Linked DNA regions of Saccharomyces cerevisiae S288C. The protein of the gene in region 2 interacts with the protein of the main gene of each other region in a biochemical or structural test. Each region holds a gene or a part of one and is shown on either strand. Other genes may lie near its edges.

Region 1 (6,019 bases), on a different chromosome or scaffold from region 2:
TTCTATTTTGTTTTTGTCTACGTTGATTCCGTTTAATGTGTATATCTCGGATGAGGGTTTCAGAATTAAGCTTTTGCTGGAAGTTATCACCCACAGGCCAGCGGTAAAGGGAAAAGAATGGAGAGCAATCACAGACAATATGAATCAATATTTACTTGATAATGGTTTATGGAGTACTCGCTATTACTTTTATAGTAGTGAAAGATGCTACAAATTCTTCAGATTTCTTGTGAAAGAAAAACCCCCAGGTGTGAATGTAAATTCATCGGTAAAGGACGCCACAAGTACGCAGATAGATGCACCAGCAAATGAGGCTTCAAATGAGGTAATAAAATGCTTTAGTTTCAGTTCTGACCCAATATTCGAAGCATACTTTGTTAAAGCAGTAGAAGTTGAGAAACAAGCACAACAGGAATATTGGAGAAAGCAATATCCTGACGCCGATATACCATGAAATATAAATCTTGATAATTTTATTTAGCACTTATACTGAGCGATGTACCAAACCGATTCTAAATTCACAATTCATAATGGAACTTAATCGTTTATACAGTATAAACAAGTAGAAGTATTTTGACAGAGATTAATAAATTTGTGCCACACGAAGGGGCTTTCTCACAGCTAATAATATTGTACAAACTAAAGGATAGAATATGCTGTGGTGCAAGTTGGGTGCACATTAACGTATTGTCGTGCATTCCCTATCATTTTTAAGGGAAGGAAATTAATTCTAATGGCTAGTTACTTACTCTCAGGACTCCATAATTAACATGTAGCAACTGAAAAAAGAAATTTTGCTGTGAATGACTTGTGCTCAAGATAAGCTTCTTTTTCTGAAGGTTTGTTTCTTATTGCGAGCACTTTTTTCTGTATATAATGTAACAGTGAAGAGCAGCATCTATATGTTAAAGTGCTTCATGTATGGTTAAGCAGGCTTTGCGGCTAAAAAAAAAGGAATGCTTATTACCCTTTTTTCCATACTTTTGTAGCTACCTAGTTTCTTTCTCGAATGTTTCGCGATTGTTTCCACTGCAATTTCCGCATAAAACAAATATCAAAGAAAATATACGAGACAGAAAGATTTGGAGAACATGATTTGATGTCTTCAGCTTTCATTATATTCAACATTTTCACGCTTTGTTCTTGTTACTATTCAATATTCATGGCCAAATTCCCACAAACCTAGATAATTCTAACTATTTTAATAAACCCACACATAAATAGAGAAGCATTACGACTTGCATGCGCATAGTGTGTCACCAAAGGTTGAGAGAAACTGTTTGCTTACTTCTTGGAAACTGCATAAGTTATACTCGAGTCTTACAATTAGTCATTGAATACGACAAAACCACTTCCTCTGCCTTATTTGATTTCTGAAAGCTTAGTGTGCTACGAGAAAAATTTTACAAAGAAATTATTATGAAGCTAAACTACTTCTTTACCATCAAGAACCACTTTTTGTCCCCAGCAAAATTTTCTTAGGCTTTGAGAGGTCCATTGTGCTAACATTACTGTTTCACATAGTTCCCATGTATAAATTAGACCAAATAGCACTAACCTGTAGGTTGTGGAACTTCAAAACTACAAAAATCTTGATGTGTTGATTGTTCGGTCACTTAGAGGATATAATTGAATACTTGCACGATAAGAATCTTAAAACATATAGTGAACAAGAACAAGTGCCGAAATTTAAATCTTTGAACCATGTTGATGTGCCCTTTCTGCTTCATAACGGGAACAACTTCGCTTGCAGCATCCTTGCATTCTTGAAGACGTTCTTACGGTCTATGTAGCATTTTCTCTTAAACCCAAGACATAGCAAAAAACAAGTGTGTATAATTACTTTGGATAATATTTATGAAATCCATACTTATATTAGCCATTTCATGAGGACGGAATACTTCTCAACTAAAAAGCACAACTTGGCAATTATTACAATTTGCGTACCTAATAAACAAGATGCCCGATAATTCCTCACAATTTTATACTAGCTCGAATGTGTTGGAATAAAAATCCACTATCGTCTATCAACTAATAGTTATATTATCAATATATTATCATATACGGTGTTAAGATGATGACATAAGTTATGAGAAGCTGTCATCGAAGTTAGAGGAAGCTGAAGTGTAAGGATTGATAATGTAATAGGATAATGAAACATATAAAACGGAATGAGGAATAATCGTAATATTGGTATATAGAAATATAGATTCCATTATGGGGATTCCTAGACCCTCGAGGAGAACTTCTAGTATATTCTGTATACCTAATATTATAGCCTTTATCAACAATGGAATCCCAACAATTATCTCAACATTCACCCATTTCTCAGAATGAGATATACTTTGAGTAAAAGTGGTGGAGGATATTACTTATGTCCTTGGTAGCATGGGTCAAGATAGTTGTGTTAACTTGTTAATTATTTTTTACTATGCTTCTCAATTAAAGATGAAGTTTAACGAATGGTCTAGACTTATTCTCACAGTTTACCCGGAGGTCATCATTCTCTTTAATGACAATATTTACTCTGTCGTCACTTTCGTAATTGTTTCGTGTCTGTTTCGCAGTCCATTTGGAATGCGACAGTAAGTTAATTACAAGAAGTAGTAACAACAACTTAGCGATAATGTTTCTCATGTGTGACGCAGGGTTACTTTTGACTTAAAACGACCATTTTGCAGTTTTACTTCACGTTCGCAAACTTTCAATAACTGGCTGTTAATCTGGTCGTTAAGAAAAAGGTCAATGACGATGGCAGGGAAAATAGGGCTGTATCCCAGACTTCAGGCGCTGTTCTGCCGGGATTTTTCAAAGGAGGGCGTGTGGTCTAGAGGTATGATTCTCGCTTAGGGTGCGGGAGGTCCCGGGTTCGAGTCCCGGCTCGCCCCACATTGTTTTTACAATGTGTGGTGTCGCTACTGGCAGAAATGGTACGGCATTTATCTTTCCGACGTAAAACAAGTGTACTCAGGAGCAGTTTTTTTTTGCAATATGCTAAAACTCGTACAATAAACCAAGGCGCATGGCATGTTTGAACATTTACTCGTTATTTCGGAGGTTCCTCAGATGGCTGAATGGAGGTACAGATTATGATTTCTAGAAAACTGCAGCGGACTTTACAGAGTAAGCTGGAGAAGACCAATGTTAATGAAAACTTGAACTGCTGAAGTGTGATATTCAATGTATGAGATAATCCATTAAATCATCTACAGTTTAAAGACTGTAGGCTTACATGACCGTTTATCACTGCGATATTGGAGGAAGCGCTTCGGATCAATGGACCTTTTACTTAGCAGAGCGAAGGCTGAAAATCATGAACCCCAACAGCATGTGTGACCTCTCTTCTCACGCCTGGCAAGAAACCAAACTACGGCATACATTCAGCGCACCAAAAAGGAACTCCGTACTATTTACATTAAAAACAAGAAAATGTGTTGCCATTTCCGTAAAATGAATGGCCCATGTTCATACGCGTATGCAACCGTCTTATTTACACTCCGACTAATGTCCTTCTAATTACTGTGGAAGACGGCCGTATAAGCGTCCTTCTGTGGTTTAGATATGCTATACCGGCGGAACTTTGTTACACACGGCTCGCGCGAATCCTTAGGGGAAAACATTGCGCTGACTTTCCCCAGAGTTGTTGCCACAACATAAGCCGCTTTGGAGTGTTGAACAAATCCGTCCTTGGGTCATTCAATCAATGGCTTGGCGGTATCTCAAAAGAGCGCAAACTAATAGCGCGCACATTCGACGCATTTATCCGGTGGTCATCGACTAGGGGCGAAGAGGTCACGACCTATTTTTTCTTGCAGAAAAAAAGTGTGACCTTTTCCGTAGCTAGACGTCTATCAGGGCGTCAGCAATGGGAGGCACAGCGGAAAAACAATAACAATGGTAAGCGCAATTACCTTTTGAGCGTTACATTCGTATGAAATTGGTGACGTTAATCTAAAGATAGTCATGCTCTCAAAAGGGCCCATTATTCTCGACGTTGAGCGTATATAAGACTATTAAAACTTGGTTCTTTAGATATGGTGTTCGTTCCTCATTATTAAGTTTCAGGGAACAATATCAACACATATCATAACAGGTTCTCAAAACTTTTTGTTTTAATAATACTAGTAACAAGAAAAATGACAGTTCCTTATCTAAATTCAAACAGAAATGTTGCATCATATTTACAATCAAATTCAAGCCAAGAAAAGACTCTAAAAGAGAGATTTAGCGAAATCTACCCCATCCATGCTCAAGATGTAAGGCAATTCGTTAAAGAGCATGGCAAAACTAAAATTAGCGATGTTCTATTAGAACAGGTATATGGTGGTATGAGAGGTATTCCAGGGAGCGTATGGGAAGGTTCCGTTTTGGACCCAGAAGACGGTATTCGTTTCAGAGGTCGTACGATCGCCGACATTCAAAAGGACCTGCCCAAGGCAAAAGGAAGCTCACAACCACTACCAGAAGCTCTCTTTTGGTTATTGCTAACTGGCGAGGTTCCAACTCAAGCGCAAGTTGAAAACTTATCAGCTGATCTAATGTCAAGATCGGAACTACCTAGTCATGTCGTTCAACTTTTGGATAATTTACCAAAGGACTTACACCCAATGGCTCAATTCTCTATTGCTGTAACTGCCTTGGAAAGCGAGTCAAAGTTTGCTAAGGCTTATGCTCAAGGAATTTCCAAGCAAGATTATTGGAGTTATACTTTTGAAGATTCACTAGACTTGCTGGGTAAATTGCCAGTTATTGCAGCTAAAATTTATCGTAATGTATTCAAAGATGGCAAAATGGGTGAAGTGGACCCAAATGCCGATTATGCTAAAAATCTGGTCAACTTGATTGGTTCTAAGGATGAAGATTTCGTGGACTTGATGAGACTTTATTTAACCATTCATTCGGATCACGAAGGTGGTAATGTATCTGCACATACATCCCATCTTGTGGGCTCAGCACTATCATCACCTTATCTGTCCCTTGCATCAGGTTTGAACGGGTTGGCTGGCCCACTTCATGGGCGTGCTAATCAAGAAGTACTAGAATGGTTATTTGCACTTAAAGAAGAGGTAAATGATGACTACTCTAAAGATACGATCGAAAAATATTTATGGGATACTCTAAACTCAGGAAGAGTCATTCCCGGTTATGGTCATGCTGTGCTAAGGAAAACTGATCCTCGTTATATGGCTCAGCGTAAGTTTGCCATGGACCATTTTCCAGATTATGAATTATTCAAGTTAGTTTCATCAATATACGAGGTAGCACCTGGCGTATTGACTGAACATGGTAAAACCAAAAATCCATGGCCAAATGTAGATGCTCACTCTGGTGTCTTATTACAATATTATGGACTAAAAGAATCTTCTTTCTATACCGTTTTATTTGGCGTTTCAAGGGCATTTGGTATTCTTGCTCAATTGATCACTGATAGGGCCATCGGTGCTTCCATTGAAAGGCCAAAGTCCTATTCTACTGAGAAATACAAGGAATTGGTCAAAAACATTGAAAGCAAACTATAGTTGGATTACATCCTACTTTTACACCCCTCTGCATATTTTTCTTTCCTCATGACCATTTAGTATTTAGCACTTATTTAATACAATAATATATTCTTTTAACCATACACTATGATAATGATATTTATAATTAAGAAAATGAACGTTACTATTTCCTTCCTCGTTTTAGTTACATAAAATTTACTAATGGTTGGAAAATTGCGGAAGCTATCACGCGATAACTAGGTACACACGCATTATTTTTATAATCCCATTATTAATAAATCCGTTATGACCCTTTTAGTAATAACTTATTAAGAACCTCCGGGTAAAATACTGTACTGCGGGGAAAGAAGGCGCTTCCCCTTCTTGGAACTTAATATAAATAATAAATTTGCCTAAGGGCATTAGGCCTTACTGCCTTGGCTAGCGTACTTATTTCGATTCATACAATTTGCACTATTCCGGCAGCTAGTTGATACTATAACATCCTACATTTTTACTTGTTTTACGTTCATTTTTAT
Region 2 (7,702 bases):
CAATGGGAACTTTTCTGTTAGAATTTGCTGGTATCATGTACTCATCTTCTTCATAGGCATTAATACCCTTATTTCTAAATGCAGATAATGGAACCTTAGGAACTTCATACCAATCTGCAGCATGGCCATTTGTGCTTTTGCTATTAATTGCATCATTGTAATTGTTCTCCATATCGTCTGTGTGGGATGGTGAATCATCCTCCAATTCACTCATGTTTAGCAGCTCATTGAGTGTCAATTCGTCACCGTTATTGCCATTAGAGCTTCCCTCTCTTTTAACATCTGGGGTTTGAGCCCTTTGATGTTGCTCGCGAAGCTGTTGATGTTCTTGGATTAAGGCGTATAATGATTTAGTAGACAGACCATCAATAATACTAAAAGGTTTGTTGTCCGTCTCCCAAGTACCCAATTTTGGTGGACGTAATCCAACAACATTTGAACTTACGATTTCCTTTGCTTTTGAGCCAATGTTTTTTGACCTTGAACTTGGGGGCGGTAGGTTATCATCTTCATCTGTGGATTCGTCATCAACGTACACAACAGTCTCTAAGAGATCATGTTTGCAATCTTTGGATCCATCAGAATTTTCTTTGTCTGAGTTAGAACTTATCAAAGAGGAAGATCCATCGCTGTCGTAATGAAAGTAAAAAGAGTCTGGATCTAAATCATCGATGTCTATGAACACATTTGTCACGCTGGAATCATCGTCGTCGTCTTCGTAATCGTCGTCCAGTTCTGTGCCAATGTCTAAGCTATCTGAATCTAGTGCCCTCAATTCTTCATCCGTGTCAGCATCGTGGGACGTTTCAGATTCACTGCATTCATCATCTGAAGGCATATGGGCAACATCCAACAAAATGTTATCATATTCATCGTCAGAAGAATCATATTTCCCGGAATTCAGGACCGTACTATGAGTGGATGGTTCCAGATCATCATTGGATTTTATCAAATTCGAGCCTTTATTCTTATGTTCAATATGACTTTTGCCCGATTTATGCCTGCCTTTCTTGCTCTTATGGCCACTATTTTCATCATCTGATTGAAAAAAAACATTGAAAATATACTCATCATTGTCCACATTGGAGGTTGTTCTCGTACTAGGTTTTTGCGTCTTTTTATAGAGCTTTCGTCTTTGTTTCCTTTCTTCCTGTTCCCGTTTTTTGGCCTCTTTCTTTTTTAGTTTAGATAGTTTTTCATCATTTAGCATTAACGGTAAAGATGTACTCAAGGATAGCTTTGGCTCTGAACCATCGCCATAATAATAAAGATTTGCAAATTTAGGATCTTCATAAAACGGCATATCAAAATCAGACATTATTTCATCTTCTTCGTCATCTTCTTCATCATATCCGTTTTCTTGATTGTATTCATTTTGCAAAAATTTATTTTCAGCATCTTCTACAGGATCAGACCCTTCTTCGTGTATACTACCATCGAATGAGAGTTCGTCGTCATTTTGTAGCTCAGAAACAATGTTTTGTTCTTCTTCTTCCAATATGGGAAGATCGTCTTCCCCCGTTTCAAGATCTGTACCAATTTCTCCATGAGAATCTTCATTGTTAATCACGTCAAAGTACGCATCCTGGTCAATATCATATTCAGATTCATCTGACTCTGAAATATTGGGAAATCGTAACTCATCGTTGTTACCTAACATCACCTTAGAATCCAGTTTATCTTCTTCATTACCATTGTTCTCTTTGTTTTTTAAATCCAAGACTTCTTCACCTATATCCTCGTTATAGCCTTCATTACCATTACCAAAACTAATGCCGTCGTCCTCTTTTTTGAATTTAAACGATAGCGCCTGTTGTGTAGTAGTAGTGCCTGAACCGTTTACTTCTTTTTTGTTTGATTCTTGTTGTTTTTGTTGCTCTTCTTTCTCTTTTTCTTTTTCTTCTTTCTGCTCTTCTTCATTTTCTTTCTTAGGGGATAGTTTAACTGATTTATTTTTGTTACTGTTCTCACGAGAGGAATAGAGTGTATTGCTATTTGTATTCATGGCAGATAAAGCTTTCATGGCTCTTTTCTTTCTTTGGGCCGTCAGTTTGACAAAATCTATATTCTCGTCATCAGAACTTGTTTCGCTATCACTATCACTATCACTTCCGTCATCATCATCGTCGTCGTCGTCTTCGTCATCATCTTCTTCTTCTTCTTCACTCTCTTCTTCTTCATTTTCACTCTCTTCGCCATCTGTTACAGCTTGGTAATCGGATGACTCTGTGCCCTCGTCGTCATTGTCTATTTGCCTTTGTATAAGTTTACTTTTTTTTCCTTGGGAATTATTTGAAATGTTCTTTGCTTTTCTTTTAATTTTATGTGGGTTTGTACTTTTGTTTTTATCAGAATCAGATACGTCACTCAAGGATGACTCAGAAGAGTATATAAGGCTAAATCTTCTTGGCCTCGTTGTACTCAGTGTGGGTGGTGATTGCCTGGACTTTGTATCGGATTCGCCCTTTTTTATGAGCCTTTTAATATTTGCTGGCAGTTTACCAGAATGTGTACTATGATTGATCGTACTTTTTCGAGGACTTTTTTTGCCTGCCATTTCGTTCTGTTTCCAGTTTGCCGGTTGTTTTTTCCTTATTTGTTTATTTGCTTCCTTGTTGAATTTCCTTCAATTTCAACAAGCTTGAAAATGAATTTCGTAGAATGAATATTACTATGTTTGAAATGGTTATTGCTTATGATGCTCACCGAAGTTAAAAAAAATATTATAGGTTTGTCCTATGTTAGAATTGTGGAAAGGGAGGAATGTAATAAATAAGCAGTAATTAAATATAGCCTTTTGAAGAGTTCCTCCTTTTAATTTCTTGTAGCAAGTGTTTCGAATGTATTCAAATATTACCAATGATTATACAAATACTTACAGCAAGTCAATTAAAGAGCCGTAAAAGCTAAACGTCAAAACGTGTAAAGCACCTATTATCTAGTCTCTTTTCCCTAGTTGTACTTTAAATCAATTTAGTGATGAGATGAAAAAAAAAAAAAAAAAAAAAAGAATTCCAACGAAAAAGAAACGACGGGCAGGGCAACCTTTAGAGATTTCAATCCGTATAAAGAGATGTAGTAGGCAGTACGGGTAACATCGTCACAATTCATAATGGAACTATCTAGCTTTTGCTTGATTGCAAAGTTCTACACCCGTTGATACTTCAAACATCTTTGCAATACGTAGGTAGGGGTCGCGTACTAGCAGCCTCCTAGTTAAGTGTATCTTTCAATCGCATTACGGAACAACTAGGCATCCCGAACCCCACACGGAAAAATCGGAACAATAACTGAAAATTTCCTTTTTCTTTTTTTTGCTCTTCAAAGTCTCTGCCCCTCTATTGCGTACTCGATTGATTTTTTTATCAAAGGCCATCTCAGACAAGTAGATCTACATTGGAGTTTCTCATAATATTATCACTATCGGAAGGTAGCATAACCTTTAATAGAGTTTCCGCTGTTTGCTTGGCTCGTTTTTTTGTTTGTACTATGCCTATTGGCGCAAAGAAGACAGAGTGTGCAAACAAGAGATGAATCAGAGCGATAGCAGCTTGATGGATTTACCACTGGAGATACATTTATCATTACTAGAGTACGTGCCTAATGAACTTCGTGCTGTCAATAAATACTTCTACGTTTTGCATAACCACAGCTATAAGGAGAAGAGTTTGGCGTGGATAGCTGAGGACAACTATATATGGGCCGTTGTCAAACATTCATTATGTTTATATGTCAAGAGTTTGGACCCACTTCGACAGCATGCCAGAGAAATCATTCAAGAAACGAAGGAACCAGGTTTTAATGTGCCACTGTGCATGACTAAATACATCGCAGATTCTTGGTATATTGTATACAATGCGCTGCAATATCCTGGAAAGATAATTAATATGGGATGGGACAAATATACCAAAAGTCAAGATTCAAATGGTTCTGATTCTACCAGTAACTTTAATAGTCGGCCCAAGGAAAGAACTCTTATGCAGTCGTTGACAGCTTTACCTGTTAACTTTTGGTCCAGGAGGAAGGACGAGCCTACACCGGTAAACGTTTGGTTTTATGTAAAAAATGCGCACGTTGCCAGATACATACCGAAAATTATTACGGAAATAGGCATATGCAACTATGGGCCGAAGCAGATCGTGGCAAGTGCAGGATATATCAACGAATTGATAACATCTGAAGGAATATACTGTGTTAACCTAGGCCACCTTCCCAGGCTATACGATGAGCAAATTTTTGAAGGCACTGGAACGACACATCTTCCCCTGGAACTGAAAGCTATCGACAGGACAGATTCAGATGTTTGTATCAATGGTGATTTAGTTCTACTCGGTTATGACTTTATTCCATATCAGATATCGAAGCCGTGGTTACTCTTTAGAATCGAACCCGTAAATAGCATTGAAGCAATCTTCAACTATAGTGAATGTTCTTTTTCATACCAGTTTGCATGGAGTTTGGCCTGCTTACAATCTGAAGAGAAAATTTCATTTCCTAGAGACACGATAATTGGGCACGGTTTACCTTACAAGCCATCCAAATTGATAAGAATTTTCGTCTACAAGCATCCGGAACAAAAGCAAGATCTTGGTCAAGAAATAGCATTGCCCAACTGGAATACCCCTTATCTTCGAAGATGAAAAAAAAATTTATCAATTAGTCTATAATATATGTGTATATACGTCTATGCACCTACCTACTTATAAATGGATATAATATTCTTGCAATGATGAAAATATGTATAGTCAAATTTCATTTTTTTCAATTGATAAATGTACTTTCAATGATGGAAACTCCTTCATCGTCATCGAATTTAGACTTCTGGCAGAATTGGTAAATGAATGGCTTCATGTTTGCCAGATTTTCAGCAATAGACCTAATGAAAGCGGGCAGCTCACTCATTATATCGTACCTATTGACTAATCTTAAATTAGATTCTTCAAAACCACGCGGAAATGAAATGGATGTAGGATATTTCCAACCATTTTGCTTATCCTCTTTTGTAGATGGAAATTTAACAGCATGATCATTTACACTTGACCCGACCTCCAAAATTTTGTCCTTATCACTAACCGCCCATATAGTCACTGTAGTGCTGCCATATTCTTTTGTTGTGGTGAATTCAATACACATCATCGAACGCTTCTCACCATTGAAACAAAGAAAATTCCATTTACTAGCCGCCTTATTGGGTATTAGCCCCTGGACAGCATCCAGATACAACATAGGCGTGTCCTTCAAGTCCAGCTTCACAGGTTTATCGTTTTTCTTGTATGAGATGGTACCATTGCAAAAACCTCTAGGAACAAAAACATGTCTTATCATTTTTCTGGACGTACTAGAAGAGTCTCTTTTTGCTAACTCTTCCAAGCTGATGCTCTTGTCAAGGTAATAATTGGAACCGTCCGGGTTTATTATGAATCCTTCTTGTAAATTTACGGTAATGTCAACCTTCAAATCTTTTAGTAAACAGCTTGTACTTCCCTTCGGAATATCTATCTTAATTAATAATTGAGCAAATCCACTGGAGGAAGAATTTTCCAAAGGTACGAAGTGAAACGTAACATTGTCCGATTCAACTTTTAACGTATCAAAATCTTTGATATTATCAATTTTAAAGCTTTCCCATATATCAATGTCTTCTTCAGAGTTTTCCTCACTGCTGGCTTTAAATATTTTGAAATTTAACTGAAAACCTTTGTATATACCGCCCATAACACTGGAATATAATAGTTGAATTAATCCACATTTGCCGTTGGTGAGATCCGTAAAATACAGAGTTTGTGTCTCTATTCTTGTTTCCGTTGGATTTCTTACTGCTTTTAATAAACTATGTGACTTGAACTTTTTGTGATTTGACGTCCTGCAAAACCATTCTAGTTTCGATGTATCCTGAAATTTAGTATAATTAGCATGATCCTTCTCGGATAAAACTTCCTTAACGGGGGCAAATTTCGTCTTCTCCTTTTTGATCGCAACCGCCATTTTTTCTTTGCTCTATGATTTTTATGTTAATTAAACTGTTCGTTGCCCTAAAATTTTGAAAATTTCTCGAATATTTAGAGAGAATCCGTCACTATTTTAGTATCTATCTTGTCTATTTATATATAAAATCTCATTCCCCTGTTATGGTTTTTGCCAAGCCCTATCCCAAAAAACCAAATGATACATGATAAACCTATTTATCCTCTTTAACAGACCTATCGTTTAAAGCTTTTTTATTGCAAACCCTATTCATTATGGCTTTTTGACCTAGGTCTCATTGTGACTTCTATTTTTCACTGTTCAGTAAAAAAAGAAAAGTGATTAAAAAGTATCACTATTTCTGTTAGAAAGCAAGTAGCTATTTTGATTGGTAATTATATACACATATTGAAGGAGGCCGTAGTATTTTCGTTTAAAATATATTACAGTAAGATAATGTCTGCTACATCTTCAAGTGGTGACGTGAAAAAATTTCAAGCTGTACCAAAACCAACGAGCAATGCATCACCACCACCAGCATCGAGTGGGTTTAACGCAAGGACCCTATGGCCGGATTTGATAGAAACACCAGAAAACCAGTGGGTTTTTGAGTGCAAAGATATTATTGAAAAGATAGGCACTAATGGACCGATAGCAGTGGAAATAAAAAAAAATATGGAAAAATGCTTAATGTACTTTTACACACTTAAAAAAAAATTAAATCTTTTTGATCACACCTATACGGCATCATGCATTCTATTTTACAGGTATTGGTTCATATATGGAATACCTACAGCCATAACTGAATGTATTCATATATCACAGGGAATTCTGGTCACCGCTTGCAAAACAATGGAGAATAATAGGCCTATAGAGGCCTATATTAAGGCGACTTGTGAGTTTTTGATGCAAAATATACCGTCTTTAAAAAGTCGAACAAATATTGATAAACTTAAATGGGAATTTAGAGATAAGTTAGTGACGAATGAAAAAAAAATACTATGTTTATTTGGCTTTGACTTAAATATCAGTAATCCAAAAGAATTGATTGAAGAAGTGTTCAGTGGCTATTATAGATTCAACAGGGATCACAATCTGCCAGAAAACTTTAAAAAAGCTTTTCCAAAAATTCTTCAAGAATCAAGAAATTTTATGGTCCAAGCTGTCACCCAGCCAGTTTCTTTATTGTGCGACGGTTATACGTTCATTGTACTATCTCTCATATACTGTGGTTTAGAGTATAAAAAGCTTGTAGACAAAGATTTCAGATATCCGAAAAACTTCTTCAAGGATAGATTCCCTATCGAAGTAACGCCGGAAAATTTTGCCAATATCTTTACCGATTACAAGTTACTGGAAGAGAATTTTTTCAACTTAAAAAGTAATAAAGGTGCTAAATTACAAATTGATTCAAGCATGATTGATTCGGTGATTGACGAAAGTGGCGATGTGGAAAATGAAGTTTCAGAAATCTCTGATCCGTTTAACTACGAGTTGATTAAATCCGGTGAGGTGAAGGAAGAGTTTTTGAATCATATTGAAACAAGGGTTAAAGATTTACTAGATAAGGCTAAACAAGAAAGTATGAAGAGAAAGGCTAAAGATCCTATAAGAACCCCAGATGCCAAAAAACCTAAAATATAAAAATAGAGTACAAGTTATGTTTAATTGGAGGGATCAGTAAAGGTTTGATATATACGTGACAAAATGTCCGGCAAGTTCCCTATGTTATCCTGAT

Evidence for each region.
Region 1: of the proteins of UCC1 (region 2) and CIT2, one has a biochemical effect on the other in vitro, tested with the Saccharomyces cerevisiae proteins (2 studies listed by BioGRID).

Annotation. Positions count from the first base shown.
Region 1 is NC_001135.5:120,446-126,464, reverse strand, and holds CIT2 (citrate (Si)-synthase CIT2), read left to right. Parts: upstream 1-4,136; coding exon 4,137-5,519; downstream 5,520-6,019. Other genes in the region: DFP3 (DUP240 family protein), read left to right, coding at 1-454; YCR006C (uncharacterized protein), read left to right, coding at 3,462-3,935. UniProt on the Saccharomyces cerevisiae protein: Peroxisomal citrate synthase involved in the citrate homeostasis. Catalyzes the condensation of acetyl coenzyme A and oxaloacetate to form citrate. Citrate synthase is the rate-limiting enzyme of the tricarboxylic acid (TCA) cycle.
Region 2 is NC_001144.5:582,934-590,635, forward strand, and holds UCC1 (Ucc1p), read left to right. Parts: upstream 1-3,530; coding exon 3,531-4,640; downstream 4,641-7,702. Other genes in the region: IFH1 (Ifh1p), read right to left, coding at 1-2,557; YLR225C (uncharacterized protein), read right to left, coding at 4,762-5,985; BUR2 (Bur2p), read left to right, coding at 6,421-7,608; ADY4 (Ady4p), read right to left, coding at 7,629-7,702. UniProt on the Saccharomyces cerevisiae protein: Substrate recognition component of the SKP1-CUL1-F-box protein E3 ubiquitin-protein ligase complex SCF(UCC1) which mediates the ubiquitination and subsequent proteasomal degradation of target proteins.